2 linked regions of the Neurospora crassa OR74A genome follow. The protein of the gene in region 1 purifies or fractionates together with the protein of each later gene. This does not show direct contact. Links are inferred from orthologs where the notes say so. Each region holds a gene or a part of one and is shown on either strand. Other genes may lie near its edges.

Region 1 (7,363 bases):
TGCATTTCCCTAAATAGTATATGTGACCCGACCAAAGATAAACCAACGAGAGATATCACTCATCTTTTTGTTCCCATCAAACGCCGTTCATTAAGCCCTGTTCTTAACCCTTGACACGCACGTCTAGTCTATTAGCCAAACAGACATGAAATTCTTCCTCTATTCCGCATCCATAGCGTCCTCATCAACCTCCTGCTGGAGCGCCGCGGCATCCAGCAGAGGCGCACCCAGCTGCTTGGCACTCCGGGGCCACACCCTCTTGTACAAGCTGACGCCCACAGAGTCCTGAGGGTTGATGCGCCCGTCAAAGGTAGCCTTGAAGTAACCGTGGGTACCCAGCGCCTCCTTGATGAAACCGCTCCTGCCACGCCTGGTCCACAGAGGCAGAGCCTTGAACCACTCAACGTCCTCCCTGTTGAAGAACATGTAGCGGATGGTGACAATCTTCTTGTGGATGTGGTACGGGTGACCGGTAAGGATGGCACGCTTGGCGACGACGCGCGATGTCGAGGGGGGCAGGGCAGTGCCGGTGGCGACGAGGCTGAGCGGCAGATTGGAGACGGGCTCGCCATCTTCGTCAAGCACGGAGCCCGGCACTTGCCTCTTGAAGAAGAGGGTGGGTACAGCACCCCATGTGACAGGACCCGTAAAAGTAGCGACAGCCGACTGGCCGGGGTGCAGGTACCGGCAGTACTTGTGGACGTCGTTGGGAGTGTTGCCGCCCTGGGAGAAGAGCGGGTTGATGACGAAGCGGCGGGGACCGCACTGTATGATCAACTCCTCCTTGGCCTTGATGGGTGCGGCAGCGTCCGCGCTCAGGTTGATGAGGAAGTTGACAGCAGTCTTCTTGTACTCGTGCCTGAGCAGGGAGAATAGAGTGACGGGCTGGCTGGGGTTGTAGGATTGCTGGATGGTCGCGGGCACGTCCTTAAGGTAAACGTGGACGCGGGTACCAGGAGCAACACCTCCGACAAGGGCTTCCCTAGACGCCCTGATCTTGGAGGCCTGGTAGTCTTGGATCTTCAACAAGCGCTCCCAATCCTCTGGCTGGTATGCGCGGTCCTCATCCTCCTGCCAAGGGCTTGACCTCAAGCTCTTGAGACCTCTGTACTTGGCTAGACGTTCACGAGCAAGAACGTGGGGGTGGAGCTCGATCTCATCAGGGAACTCGAGGTCATCCTGAGCCTCATCCCGCTTTTGCTTGCGGAAAGCCTCTAGTTGCTTGGCATCCTCATCAGCATCAGGTTGGATGAAGCCGCCCTCAGTTTGTGGGTACTCGGTTTGTCCGGCTTCTGTTGGCGCGTAACCAGCAAGACCCTCCTCGCCATCCTCTGGCCTGGCGGCCTCTTCCTCGTCGTCGTCCTCCATCTCATCGTCCTCTTCCATATCTGAGCCGGAATCAGACACATCGTCGTCTAGGTACCACGCAGCCTGGTACTTTGATGTACCCTTGGGAAGCTTCTTTGGCGCAGTATAAGCCTCGGGCTCCTCCTCTGAGAAGTAATGGTGGTCGTCCAACAAAACACCCTTCTTTGAAGTCGTCATTGTGGTCATTCCGTCGTTCATTTCGTCATCGTCGTCGTCCTCCATGCGAACCTCCTCGGGCGCAAGGTCGACAAGATCATCGCGGTCGTCGGTAGGCTGGTCGAGAATCTCCTCAGCGCCCTCCTCCACGTTCATGCCCTCCTCTCCACGTTTCCTCCTGGCCAAGGGAGCTGCTGTGATCTTCTCAACCTGGAAGGTGCCCCAATCGCCAACCTGCACCAGGCGGTCGGCCTTCAAGCCCTTGCCCCTGACGACACCGGTAAGCACGGTAGACTCACCAAACTTGACCTCCTCCACAAGCATCCAACTCCTCTCGTCTCTCCAGCGAATGCCCTTGGGTGTAGTGCTGCATAGCGAGCGCATGAGGTTGGAGCATTCCTGTCTGTTGTCGAGGCTGAAGACCTTATCCTGTTCGGGGTGGAAGTGGGTGATGTAGGACTTGAGAGACGAAAGAACGGAGAGTCTCTGCTTTTGGGGCTCGATCTTGTTGAGGCCCTGGACGACGGTGAAGAGGGTAGAGAGACCCTGGCTTTCAACGCTGCGCAAGATCAGCTCGCCAAGTTCATCGACCTCTTCCTGCGCGGACAAAACGAGAACGACATAGTCGGCGACTCTGGCAGCGTCCAGGCAGGCGGTAAGGTCGCGCTTGAGGGGGAAGTATTGAAGCTTCTGCTTGAATCTGTCGACGGGAACGCGGAATGCGCCCTCGGGCACCTCGGTCTCGATATCAATGCTGGCGTTCAGGCTCTTGATGGCTTCGGTAGCGTCACCGTCGCTGCACAGGGGGATAACGGCCACGTTTCTGGGGGCACCATCCTTGCCGGCGAAAATGGAGGTCTCCTGGAGATGTTCCTTGTGTTTTTGCAGCTGAAGCTGCTTGTTACGGTTGCGACGGTCGAACTTGGACATGACTTGTTGATGGGGGGTCTTGCGCACACCTCTCTCCTCGGCTACCTTGCCTATAGAATGTTGAAAGTATTAGCGCTGTGTGGACGTTGTCGACCTCTTTATATGCAGCTGTATATTCATGTCTGCTTGGGCTTGGTGCGCCAAAGTTGGGTGAAGTAGAGCATAGTCCAAGGCAACAACCTTGGCATGAGGCACGGCTGTTATATGCAATCCGTACCTTTGGCAGCATTCCGGAGAGCACCCTTGGTAGAATGGCGTGACTTGAAGGGCTTGTTCGACGCCTTGGTCGTCGGCCGATGCGAGTGGCCGCTCACGGCGCCGGGCATATTGCTGGAATCGCCGCCTGCTTTGAACCGAAAAGGGAGCGAGTTTGACGCCAGGATGTTGGACCTGGGGAGGCGATGAAGAGAAGAGGCTGGGGGGTTGGGACTGAAAAGAGATTTCGAGAACCTCTCTGGTCACAATCCGTCTATCGAGTATCGAATAAAGTGATGGGGACAATGTCAATGGCGGGGCACTCGTTGCATTTTTTTGAGTTGTGCGAACATGGGCGGCCGTCTCGCTACTTATCTTATCGGACTCTTGTACGCAGTGGAGCCAATGATCGCTGCGGAACAGCTGCCCCATCCAACTTTTTAGTGGGTCCGGCCCCAAAAAAGTTGTCGAGGAAAGGAAACATTCAAAGTGCCAAAGCGAGGGACAGACACGGGCACACCGAGAAACCGCCAGACCAATTCCATATTCAGCCCCCATCCATATCCCGTCGCCGATCCAACTGTCCTAGTCCACCACACATATTACCCATTCCCATTGTGTCGCGTCGACCCATTGGCACCATGGAGACTACAGACAGGGCCGAAATCTCCCTCTCGAGGGCAGAGCAGCCCAGCGGCGCCGTTGCCATCAACAACGTCCGAAGCGAGTTCCGATCAAAGGCCGAGGCCAACAAGATCCGCAAAGTCAAGGCAGCAGAGAAGTCGTACGGCCGTGGTCGCAAGATCGATGTCAAGAACGTCAAGGACAAAAAGCTCAAGCGCAACCTTACCAACCTCGAAGAAAAGTACCAGACGGCCACGCTAAAGGCCAAGGAGGCCGAAATCCTTCTCGAGAATGCCGGCGGTTTCCTCGAGGCTGAACATGAGCTTGTGAGTAGCCATGGCTTGGGAGTTTATAGCCTCTTGCGCGATACTAACCGCGCTGGTCACGATAGGAACGCACATACAAGGTTCGCCAGGAGGACATCGTCAGCGAAGTCAACATTGAGGTCGCCCAGAAAAAGTTCGACTTGAAGCTCGACCAACTAGGCCCTTACATTTGCGATTTTTCGAGGAATGGCCGGGATCTGATTCTGGCAGGACGAAAGGGCCATGTCGCTACGATGGACTGGAGAGACGGCAAGCTGGGCTGTGAGTTGCAGTTGGGAGAGACCATCAGGGACGTCAAGTGGCTACACAACAACCAATACTTTGCCGTCGCTCAGAAGAAGTACACCTACATCTACGACTCGCAGGGCGTCGAGCTCCACTGCCTAAGGAAACACGTCGAAGTCTCCCACCTCGAATTCCTCCCCTACCACTTCCTGCTGGCCACCCTGGGCACAAACGGCCAGCTCAAGTACCAGGACACATCGACCGGTCAGATCGTCACCGAAATCGCAACGAAGCTGGGCACACCCGTTTCCATGACACAAAACCCCTGGAACGCTATCCTCCATGTTGGTCACCAGAACGGCACAGTAACGCTATGGTCGCCCAACTCGTCAGAACCTCTGGTCAAGCTCCTTGCCCACCGTGGTCCCGTACGATCCATGGCTGTCGACCGCGAAGGCCGCTACATGGTGACAACAGGACAGGACTGCAAGATGGCCGTTTGGGATATCCGCATGTTCAAGGAGGTCAACAACTACTTTACCCGGGCGCCCGCTTCGTCCGTCGCCATCTCAGATACCGGCCTTACCGCTGTCGGCTGGGGCACCAGGACAACGGTCTGGAAGGGTCTCTTCTCGAAGGAGAAGCCGGTACAAGAAAAGGTCCAGTCTCCCTACATGACGTGGGGCGGTGAGGGCAAGCGCGTCGAGCGGGTGCGGTGGTGCCCCTTTGACGATGTTCTCGGTGTCGGCCACAGCGAAGGGTTCTCGTCCCTCATCATCCCCGGCGCCGGCGAGGCCAACTTCGACGCCTTGGAAGTCAACCCGTACGAGACCAAGAAGCAGAGACAGGAGGGCGAAGTCAAGCAGCTGCTCAACAAGCTCGCGCCCGAGATGATTGCGCTCGACCCCAACTTTATCGGCACCCTCGATTTGCGGTCGGCGAAGCAGCGGGAGGCGGACAAGGATCTGGACGCCGGGCCGCCGGATCTGGAGGAGGAGATGCGCAACCGGGCCAGAGGCAAGAACAGCGCGCTCAAGAAGTACCTGCGGAAGCAGAAGAAGAAGAACATTATCGACGAGAAGCGGCTCAAGGCCGAGGAGATGTACAAGCAGATGCAGGAGAAGAACGGGGAGAGGCACAAGGAGAAGGTGGCCGAGCTGGGGCCTACGCTGGCCAGGTTTGCGAGGAAAGAGTAGAGCATGAAAATTGGTGGGAGGGGTGGAAGAACAGAGTACATGATGATACCCAGAATCAGTCACTTAATGAAACCAAAGACGGTCAGTCGACCGGATGCTGTGCTGATACTATATTTGTTTACTTGATATGCTTACGTGTATGTGGAGACTCATCTTGTTGCTTGATAATCTATTCAAAAGTAAAAATCAAGACCTACGCCTTACATGCATCAAAGTCTTTACCTGACTGTATCGCTCTCTAAGCCCAATGATACTTTTATACCGTCCCCGTTACGCCATTTTTCGTGCTTCTCGTCCTTCTCTTTGTATCTACGTTCATGCTACCGTCAACATAACACACTTTCTCCATCCTCTCCCCGCTACAAAGTCTTCCCCCTTTACAGCAACTTCAAGTGACCAGTGATCTCATCAACCAAGCTCTTAGGCGCCGGACCAACGCCCAGCACGGTCCTGGACCCAGAGGCAATCTGCGTACGGCCAGCATCCTGAATCACCTCAGCAGTGACGCCCAAGCTGCGCGCCTTGGCCATCAGCTCCAGCATCTCATCCTCGGTCTTGGTTTGCACGGCGATCTTGGCCTGGCCGTTGCGCTCCCACTGACGGAGCAGGCGGGCCGACAGCGACAGGGGCTCGAGCTGGGCGGCAGAGAAAAGGCGCTTGTAGCAGGCGAGGGTGGCGTGGGAGCATTGAGCTGCGATTTTGCCTGTTTGTTTTCCACCACAGCAACACGTCAATAAACCGAAGGTTAAGGGATAAAGTAGAAAAGAGATATCAGAAAAAAAAAAAAAAAAAACATACCCTTGGTCATGCCCAGATCCGTCCTCACAACCAAGACCAACTTGCACTCCTCAGTCGGATCCAGTCCCAACTTGGGCGCCGCCTTCTCCTGCTGCTGCTTCTTCTTCTTTTTCTTCTCCTCAGCGGCAGCAGCACCGCGCGCGCGCAAGCCCTGGCGCTGATCGGCCTCGAGCCCGTTGGCCCAGTTGGGCGCGTGGTCTAGTATGTAATCGTCCTCGTCCACCTCCGACTCCTCGCTCTCGACGGGGTCCTGAAAGTTCCGGCGCCGCTCCTCCTTCAGCTCGGGCGGGATCAGGTAGCCGCGGATGGCGTAGACGCCGAGCACGAAGCCGGTGATGAGCGAGATCATGGAGGTCGAGAGGATGACCATGGAGGGCATGGCGTTTGGAATGTCGGACATTGTGGCGGTTGTGAGGGCGGTGGTGAATTTTTCTGTTTTGGTGGTGAAGGGTCGGCGGTGATGTTGATACGGCGGTGCTTGATGAGGAACTACTACTCGCGGTCTGGAGTTTGTGATGGTGGCAGTAGTTGTTGTGGCGGTCGAGAAAGCGAATCGATAGTTCTTTGTGACACTGACGGAAGCTCGTTGTTGTCTTGGAAAATCTAGACGGACTCGGAGTGCTGCTCCTGCTGCTGTTCGAGTTGGAAGAAGGGGGATGACGTGCATGGGTTGTTGACAGCAGGAAGAAGCCAGCGGAATGGAAAATCCCACAGGGGGGTCAATGTGCTAGAAGGCGCCTAGAACGATATGGAGAGCAGTGGATGTGTCAACAAGCCTTATCGCTTTGGTTGGTTCCGGCAGGCAGGCGATCCCCTACACTAACCCCTGGCTTATACGCGGGGAGGTACGTACCGTTTTGGTTCCTTTCAAGGAAACCACCAATGGCAACAACCCAACGTTGGTTCAGTTGTGAGCACCTCGCCCAAGAATTCCGAACTGAACCACTTCTGTTGACTCTTACAGTTTAGATAACACTCCTACGTAGTCCTCTTCTTTTATTTCTTTTTTCTTGTTTTCTTTATTCAATACTTAAACGGACTCTCTCTCCATGACATAGCATCGCGGCGTCGAACTGGAGCTCAACTACACCTCAACACCTCCACGCTCTTTCACGATGTTGGACCCAAATCAGAAAGCCGTCGTCATCGGAATCAGCGGATGTTCCTCGAGCGGCAAGACGACATTGGCTCGACTTCTCCGCGATATCTTTCCCAATACCTTTATCCTACACGAAGATGATTTCTACAAGCCCGAGTCCGAGTAAGCTCCCTCTCCTCCTCCTAATCTCATCTCACTCGAGAACTAGTCTCTAACCACCGATATATGTGTCTCACAAAATAAACAGAATTCCTATGAAAGAAGGCCTCACAAACTGGGACTGTCCCGAAGCCCTCTCGATCCCCGACATGACGGCGGCCCTCGAGCACATCCGCGCCACGGGCGAGTTACCAGTTAGTAGTACCATGAATCTTACCAGACCCTTTCTTTCCCGGAGACACACCCACGGTAGTAGTAGTACTACTACTAGTAGTAGTAGTTATTAC
Region 2 (7,651 bases), on another chromosome or scaffold:
CGACGTGATCTAGGTAGTCAGGACGCGACTGCACGAAGGCACCGCAGAATCCACATCCCCAAGCACCTCTTGTCGGTAGCTTGACTATGTGTTGAGTCGTTGGGGAAGAAGAAAGATTGTGAACATCTCGACAATGGGATGCAAGAGATGGTCGTTCAGAGAAAGAATCGTGGCAAATGGAGCACAAATGCTCCTCGGGTCTGTCGTGATCCCTGAGTTCGTGATCCCTCCACTGGCCGGGACACGCAAACATGGCGTCGCAGAATGTGCAATGATAGCGAGGTGGGTAGTCATCGGTGTTGAAGCCGTCATCGCATTTCCCAGAACTACAAGGTGTTGCAGACATATTAGGATCCGCCGAGTCCACGGAGTGTTGTCGAACCGAATATCGTGAGTATGCCGTCGAGGCAGTTGAGATTCTTAGGCCAGCAGTCGAAAAGATGCTGGGAGCAGCTGAGCTCCGTCTAGATGTCGAGGCAAGCGAGGCGCGGGAGTGTTTGCTGATGAGATCATGATCGTAAGTCGGAAAGTAGTCGGTCTCTTGCCAGATGTTGTCGGTATGTGTCTCGGAATATGGGTTTTCCTTGGATGTAGTAGTCGGCACCTGATACGAAAAAGCATCAATCTCCCCGACGGCATAGCTGGTGAATCCTTCTCTCACACGGTCCACCTTTGGCTGATGGTGATTCAGAGCCATGAAGAGGATTTGGACGGTATTGGGCAGGTGTATGGTTTCTGTTAGACCACAAAGATATAAGCCAAGAGTATCAGTCTGTGCAGAATCCCGTGAGAAGAAGAAGCCAGGAAACGGGTTACCTCCAGATAGACCTTGTTCAAGAAGGGGTCTTGTTCTTATTTATTGAAGCTCTAGGGGTGTCAGATCATGTTTTGTATCCAGATCTATGCTCATTCGACCAATTGATGAAGTGGATTCACGAACTGGCTGCGCACAGGGCTGTGCAAGACCTTGTGGGGGTAGTGAGATCAAGAGGCTCTCAAGCGCCGACGTGATCCGGGTAGAAGTAACCAAGCTATCGGGAGACGGACCGGTTCCTGGAGGAGGCGGTGCTTTCATTTCCTATGCCGGCCTCTAGGGTGACGCGGAGAGACGGTAGTATCATGTCAGAACAAGGCGAAGTCGCGGTCCTTGATGATGGTTTCGTGGGGTGTGCCGGCGCGGAGCTCGTAGACTGGCCATTGTTCCAAGTCCAGGGTAAGTTAGCGAATAGACTAGGCTTGGCAAGGTACGTAAGGATGGGGTTATGTCGTACGGAGATGCCGCTGTATAGCGACGTAACCCGGAGGGCATAAGGCTGAATCAATGGGGACGGATAGACAGACACTGCAGAGTACCTCTTTGACAGTCTCTTGGCTTGGAAGGTCGGTGTAGATGGAAGCTCATCGCAGCTGCGCACTGTTCAGGCCTCGACTGGGGCATCCAATGGCGTCTAGGAGATGGTGGAGGGTAGTATCAGCGCTGTTCCTTGTGCATGTCGAGTACCGATTTGATATATTGGTCAGATAGGTCGGGTACATATTCTCGTTCACAGCTCCACGACACGTTTGCTTGGTTGATGTTGATGCCCCTAATTCGAAAGCCACGGATCTCGCGCTTCGAGCTACATGAGCTACGTATGAGCGTGAGGCAAGCTGCTCGCCCGAAGAGCCATCATGATACAAACGACGGAAACAAATCACCACGCCAAATACCACCATGGACTTGGCATCACTTGAACTGTCGGAAGAGACTGGATCGACTGAGGTACTGTGTAGTATCGTGATGGTGTCGTCGACGCTGCGAGACCCAAAATGGAAATGATAGGTACACAGCGGCACCACATCCATGCAACGGGCCGGAATGGTGCGCCATCGAAACCCGTACGCTTCTGATGCGCTGAAGAACGGGAGCATTGGGGCAATTTGGGGGTGTCGTGCATGCTGTAGGGCTCTTCCGCCACTGTACATACTGTATCATCCCTCGAAGACCCGGAGTTGGTGTCGCTGATTGGATGTCCGGCTGGACGGAACCGTTTCACGACCAATCCCGCAGAAGCCAGAGAAGGCATTCCCAGATTGCGACGCCTGTGATCATCCAGACAACGGCCATTATAGGATGTGAAACCGATGATGAGCGACATGCTTTGAACACAATGGAATAATCAAAGCATCCCAAGTCTTGTCTTGTTGTTGTTGTTGTTGTTTCTGCCACGCCCTGACGAGAACATCAACGTCGTAGTAGACGATGCGTTGAATGTCCTGAGACCGGGCAGTCGATAATGCTGGCCTGAGTCATCGGGCGGTCCGGTCACTTCAGTTGGTAATCCCTTCATGGACGCCGGGTCTTGCTTGGGAATGCGAAGCGGTCGACACTTGTGACAACCCAAGTCCGAGGTGGGCATGTTGACATGAGGTGGCAGAGGGGAGCCCGAAAGAGAGAACTGAAGTACACCAGTTTGTGAGGCGAGAAGCGAGAGAACCCGTGACCAACGCCTTCACATTTCTCGATCTGACTGCATATCGTGTCTCGTGTGAGCAGACATGACGCCAACAAACAACATGGGATGGCATGTGTCTCGGTCGACGACAAAGGAGTATGTGTTTGCATATTGGCACGAAAACGACCGAATAAGTAAGGGGATTGTGGCATTGCCGCAATGGAAAGAAGAACAAGGATTCATCATGAATCATCCGTCTCGCTGCTTTCCGAATGGAAATGGAAAACCGTAAAAGGATCGATGAAGGACGGACTGTTACCGACACCGCCAAACAGTCCAAGCCTCAATCTCTCCCATTGTGCAGGTCAGACATGCAGATCGAGCCCATAGGGCTGATGTGAGTGAGGGAACTCGACCATTGGCCAAATGATATGCGATCTGGTTGAGTTCGATGCAAAGAGTCAGTCAGGTGTGGTGAGTGGGTGTGGGTGAATGGGGCAGCAAAATGTCCCGTGTCAGTGTGGGAGGTAGGACGACGACGAGGACCCGACTGTCAGACAGACAAGAGGCCAGGCACACGGACAGCTGTCGCTCAGCTGGCAAGACTCTTCTTATCCGAATTCTTATCGACACGAAAATCCAAAGGAGTTTCGCACAATTGCTGCTGCCATTGGTTGCTAAGCCTTCCCAGCTTACAGCGCTCCAACGGGCCAATGGGGTGGCCAATGCGGCGTGAATTGGGGTAGGCAGAATCCCCACCCCGCATGGCTGTGGCCCGTGCTTCGTCCTGAGCTTGCCGCAAAAATTTCGAAAAAACTTGTCCAGGGCAAAAGTGGCAGAGCAAAAAAATATCCAAACACAGCGCCGTTCTGATTCCCGGAGACCGAAGACTGAGTTCATGCACCGGTGGCATTGAACGACGCCCAATTGCGCACAACACTCCAATCCCAGCGCACCCGGTTACCCAGTCACCCATCAATCCAGAGTCATCATACGACAACATCACCGCTAAGATGGCCAACGTCAACTATCTTCTGTTCGAAAGCGCGGTCGGCTTCTCGCTCTTCGAGGTCGTCCACCAGGCCGACACTGTCGGCTTGGAGCTGCCCGAGGTCAAGGATGCCATGAAGGATCTCGACAAGTTCGGCAAGATGGTGAAGCTCCGCAGCTTCAACCCTTGGAAGTAGGTGGCCAGAAGCAAAAGCATTGTGTGGTTTTGGAGTTGGTGTTTCGGGTTGAGGTGGTTGTGGTGATTTCATGGTCATGTGGTGGTGGTGGTGGTGGTGGTGATGATGTTGGGAGGGACAGAAACATTGTGTGAATTGCTTGTCTTGGCTGAACCATAAACTAACGTTCCTTAACCTCCAGCTCTGCCGCCCACGGTCTCGAGGCCATCAACCTCATCTCCGAGGGTATCATGCCCGACCACCTCAAGAACACCCTCGAACTCAACCTCCCCCAGACCAGCGGAAAGAAGAGCAAGATCGTCCTCGGTGTCGTCGACAAGAGGCTCGCTGGTGAAATTAGCGGAAACTTCCCCGGTATTCAGTGCGAGGCTGCCGATACCTCCGAGGTCGTCGCTGCCCTCCTTCGCGGCATCCGCACCCACGCCGGCAAGCTCCTCAAGGGCCTCCAGGACGGTGACATCAACCGCGCCCAGCTCGGTCTCGGTCACGCCTACTCCCGCGCCAAGGTCAAGTTCTCCGTCCACAAGAACGACAACCACATCATCCAGGGTATCGCGACCCTCGATGCCCTCGACAAGGGTATCAACTCCGGCGCCATGCGCGTGAGGGAGTGGTACGGCTGGCACTTCCCTGAGCTTATTCGCATCGTCTCCGACAACGGCACCTACGCCAAGGTCGTTCTCGCTGTCGGCAACAAGAAGTCTCTCAGCGACGAGTCCCTCGACGAGCTCGCCAACGTCCTTAACCAGGACGAGGACAAGGCCAAGGCCATCATCCAGGCCGCCAAGGTCTCCATGGGTCAGGACATCAGCGATATGGATCTCAACATGGTCAAGGACCTCGCGGACAACGTCTCCAAGATGGCCGACTACCGCCGCATCCTCGCCGAGTCGCTCGACAAGAAGATGGGCGAGGTCGCTCCTAACCTGCAGGTCATCCTCGGCACCCCCGTTGCCGCCCGCCTCATCTCGCACGCCGGCTCCCTCACCAACCTCGCCAAGTACCCCGCTTCTACCCTCCAGATCCTCGGTGCCGAGAAGGCCCTCTTCCGCGCTCTCAAGACCAAGGGCGCCACCCCCAAGTACGGTCTCCTCTACCAGAGCACCTTCATTGGCCGCGCCGGTCCCAAGGTCAAGGGTCGCATCTCCCGCTACCTCGCCAACAAGTGCTCCATTGCCTCCCGTATCGACAACTTCTCTGAGAACCCCACTAAGCGCTTTGGTGAGGTTATGCGTGAGCAGCTTGAGCAGCGTCTGGAGTGGTACGCCAAGGGCATCAAGCCCATGAAGAACACCGAGGCCATGGACAAGGCCATCAAGCTCGTCATGGACGACGAGGGTGACATGGACATTGACACCGAGATGGTCGACTCGCACACCGCCACCCACGCCGCCGACTCCAAGAAGGACAAGAAGGAGAAGAAGGACAAGAAGAAGGACAAGGAGGAGAAGAAGGAGAAGAAGGACAAGAAGGACAAGAAGAGGAAAGCGACTAGCGAAGACGTCGAGATGGTAGACGCCCCCGACGCTGCGGAACCCGAGAAGAAGAAGAAGAAGAAGAAGTCGAAGTCTGAGTAAAAAGACCGAAAGAAAAAGAGCCAAAAAGCAGCGTCACCACTTGTGTCTTTTTCACGATTTTTACTTTTTTTCTTCGTCATCTTGTTTAGAGCTTCTCGTCGCGTTTTTTGGCACGTCGTTCTTGTTGGTTCGCTCTGTTGTCGTTGTTATCCTCGGGAGTTTCTTATAATGTATGGGGTATGGGTCAAATCTGGTACAAAGGAGTTTTACGGGTCTACTTGTTTCTTGCAAGAATCATAAATAGTTCGTCGTTGTCGTCATTCACATCTCTTGCCATCTACGACTGATCATAGAGGGGTAGCGCAAAAAAGTTGAAAAGGATGTGCGTGTGTACTAGCATCATACCCATGGAGCATCATATGGCGGCGATATGGGTAAAAACAAAGGCTCATTAAACGAAACGGAACGTACGTCTAAAAGTACCTGGTTGATGTGAAGTGTCATGAATCTATGTACTCTTCCAATATCGCATGATTGCAAAACGCCCATCGACACTCCATCTTCCCCTGATTTTCTCGCTAGAATAATATCGTCATCATCAAGTCTTCGTAGTAAACATGTGCCTTGCCGCATGCAATGTGCTGCCAAGATAGAAAAAGGGGCTTGCAAGACTCTTAACCCCAAAGTAAAAAGTACCTAAAACATCCAGATACCCGCCGCCCTCTGTATACCACTCCTTCGCTTTCCATGGGAGAAACACCAAAGAACAAGAATAAACCGCACGGAACGAACCATTGACCACACCCGCCCCCCACACTGTGGCAGGCATCTCTCTACGCACCCTCACTACCAAACTCCTTTGTCCATTCCTCATTCCTCTTGAGATCCTCGCCCGACACAGTCGGCCTGCTGGCCTTGATGGCCTTGATAAAGTCCTTCTTGTCGACAAATGGTTCGAGCAGCTCGTCCGAGGGTACCTGCTCCCACGTCATTTCGATGGCGTCCGGATCGCCTGGCGAGCAGGGCGTGAGCATTTGTTTGCCTTCGTGGACGACCTGTTTTTTGTAGTAACAAAAGTTAACAATCTCGCATCATGAATAGAGGTAGAAGTAGGGGTTGAGGGTCAGGGATGGGAGAGAAAAGAGAAAAACAAAAAAGAACGAACCTTTTTGAAATGCGTAGCCTGCTGAATCTTCCTCACCGGTTGCATCAACGCATCCTGCACAACAATACTGATATCCGAACCCGAATAACCCTCCGCCGCGCGCGCCAGCTCGCGGAAGTCTTCCGCCTTGAGCGCCGTGTGGGTGTCGCCCACAGCCAGCCGGAACATGGTGGTGCGCGCCGCCAGGTCCGGCAGAGTGATGTGCACGCGGCGCTGGAAGCGGCGACGGATAGCAGCATCCAGCTGCCAGGGGATGTTGGTGGCGCCCAGGATCAGCACGCCCTTGCTGTCTTTGCCGACACCGTCCATTTGGACCAAAAGTTCGGTTTTTATCCTGCGCGAGGCTTCCGACTCGCCTTCACCGCGCGGACCGCAGAGGGCGTCGATCTCGTCGATGAAGATAATGGAGGGCTTGTTTTCTCGGGCCATGGCGAAGAGTTGCTTTACTAGACTGTTTTTTGTTGGAAAATCGTTAGCTTCTCAGTCACGATAGTGGCATAAGGACAGAGACAACAGGACAAAACATACCGTTCACTCTCACCCATCCACTTGCTCACCAAATCCGAGCTGCTCACGCTGAAGAACGTGCTCTTCGCCTCTGTCGCCACTGCCTTGGCCAAATAACTCTTTCCTGTTCCCGGTGGGCCATACAGCAAAATACCCTTCCACGGCTGCCTCTTCCCCTGGAACAGATGCGGGAACTTGATTGGCAACAAGACCGCCTCCTTGAGGGCCTCCTTGGCACCCTCTAGACCAGCCACATCATCCCAGCTGATGTTCGGCCGTTCCTGCAGAATCGCGCCCGCCAACGCACTTCTCAGCTTCTTGCTATCCTCATCCAACGCTTCTCCATTGCCATTACCGTCCTCCCCGGCCTCCTTCCCCTTCCCCGTCCCGCCCGTCGAACCCCCGTTCGCGCCCACCATCCCGGGCTTCTTCCGCTTCGCTTCCGCGTCCGCCAGGTGCGCTTTGAGCTTCTCGGCCCGGTCCATGTACTCGCCCGTCTTGGCCCGGATCATCTCCTTGGATTTCGGGTTCTTCTCCCATTTTAGGGCGAGCATGAAGAGTTCGAGCGATTGGTAGTACAGCTGGTAGGCTTTGTCGTACTGGGCGGCGTTGTCGGCTTCGATGGCTTTGCGCACTTGCTCGATGGCGCGGCCGAGGAAGTCGGTATTGGACATTTTGTGCGGCGGCGGCTCGAAGCGTGTAAAGTGATGTCGCGTGAATTCGTGGTTTAGTCGAGTGTAGGATTGGTCGCTCTTCTTGGTACGCCGTAGTAAGCGTTTGTAGTCGTTATACTTGTTTGCTTCTTCGCTCGGACAAGGAGAGTTTGTTGATATTCGCGCG

The links.
Region 2: the proteins of NCU01502 (region 1) and NCU06943 purify together in Saccharomyces cerevisiae (affinity purification with mass spectrometry; 5 studies listed by BioGRID). This does not show direct contact. The link is inferred for Neurospora crassa OR74A from reciprocal best matches to the Saccharomyces cerevisiae genes UTP7 and NOP56.

What each region holds. Positions count from the first base shown.
Region 1 is NC_026502.1:3,250,991-3,258,353, forward strand, and holds NCU01502 (small nucleolar ribonucleoprotein complex subunit), read left to right. Parts: upstream 1-3,140; 5' UTR 3,141-3,290; coding exon 3,291-3,599; intron 3,600-3,664; coding exon 3,665-5,020; 3' UTR 5,021-5,210; downstream 5,211-7,363. Other genes in the region: NCU01503 (pre-rRNA processing protein Tsr1), read right to left, coding at 160-2,504, 2,672-2,780; NCU01501 (mitochondrial peptidyl-tRNA hydrolase Pth2), read right to left, coding at 5,398-5,723, 5,819-6,485; NCU01500 (nicotinamide riboside kinase 1), read left to right, coding at 6,934-7,079, 7,165-7,363. UniProt on the Saccharomyces cerevisiae protein: Involved in nucleolar processing of pre-18S ribosomal RNA.
Region 2 is NC_026507.1:846,539-854,189, reverse strand, and holds NCU06943 (SIK1), read left to right. Parts: upstream 1-2,873; 5' UTR 2,874-3,448; coding exon 3,449-3,618; intron 3,619-3,803; coding exon 3,804-5,199; 3' UTR 5,200-5,611; downstream 5,612-7,651. Other genes in the region: NCU06944 (hypothetical protein), read right to left, coding at 1-697; NCU06942 (vacuolar protein sorting-associated protein VPS4), read right to left, coding at 5,973-6,194, 6,305-6,755, 6,833-7,485. UniProt on the Saccharomyces cerevisiae protein: Required for 60S ribosomal subunit synthesis.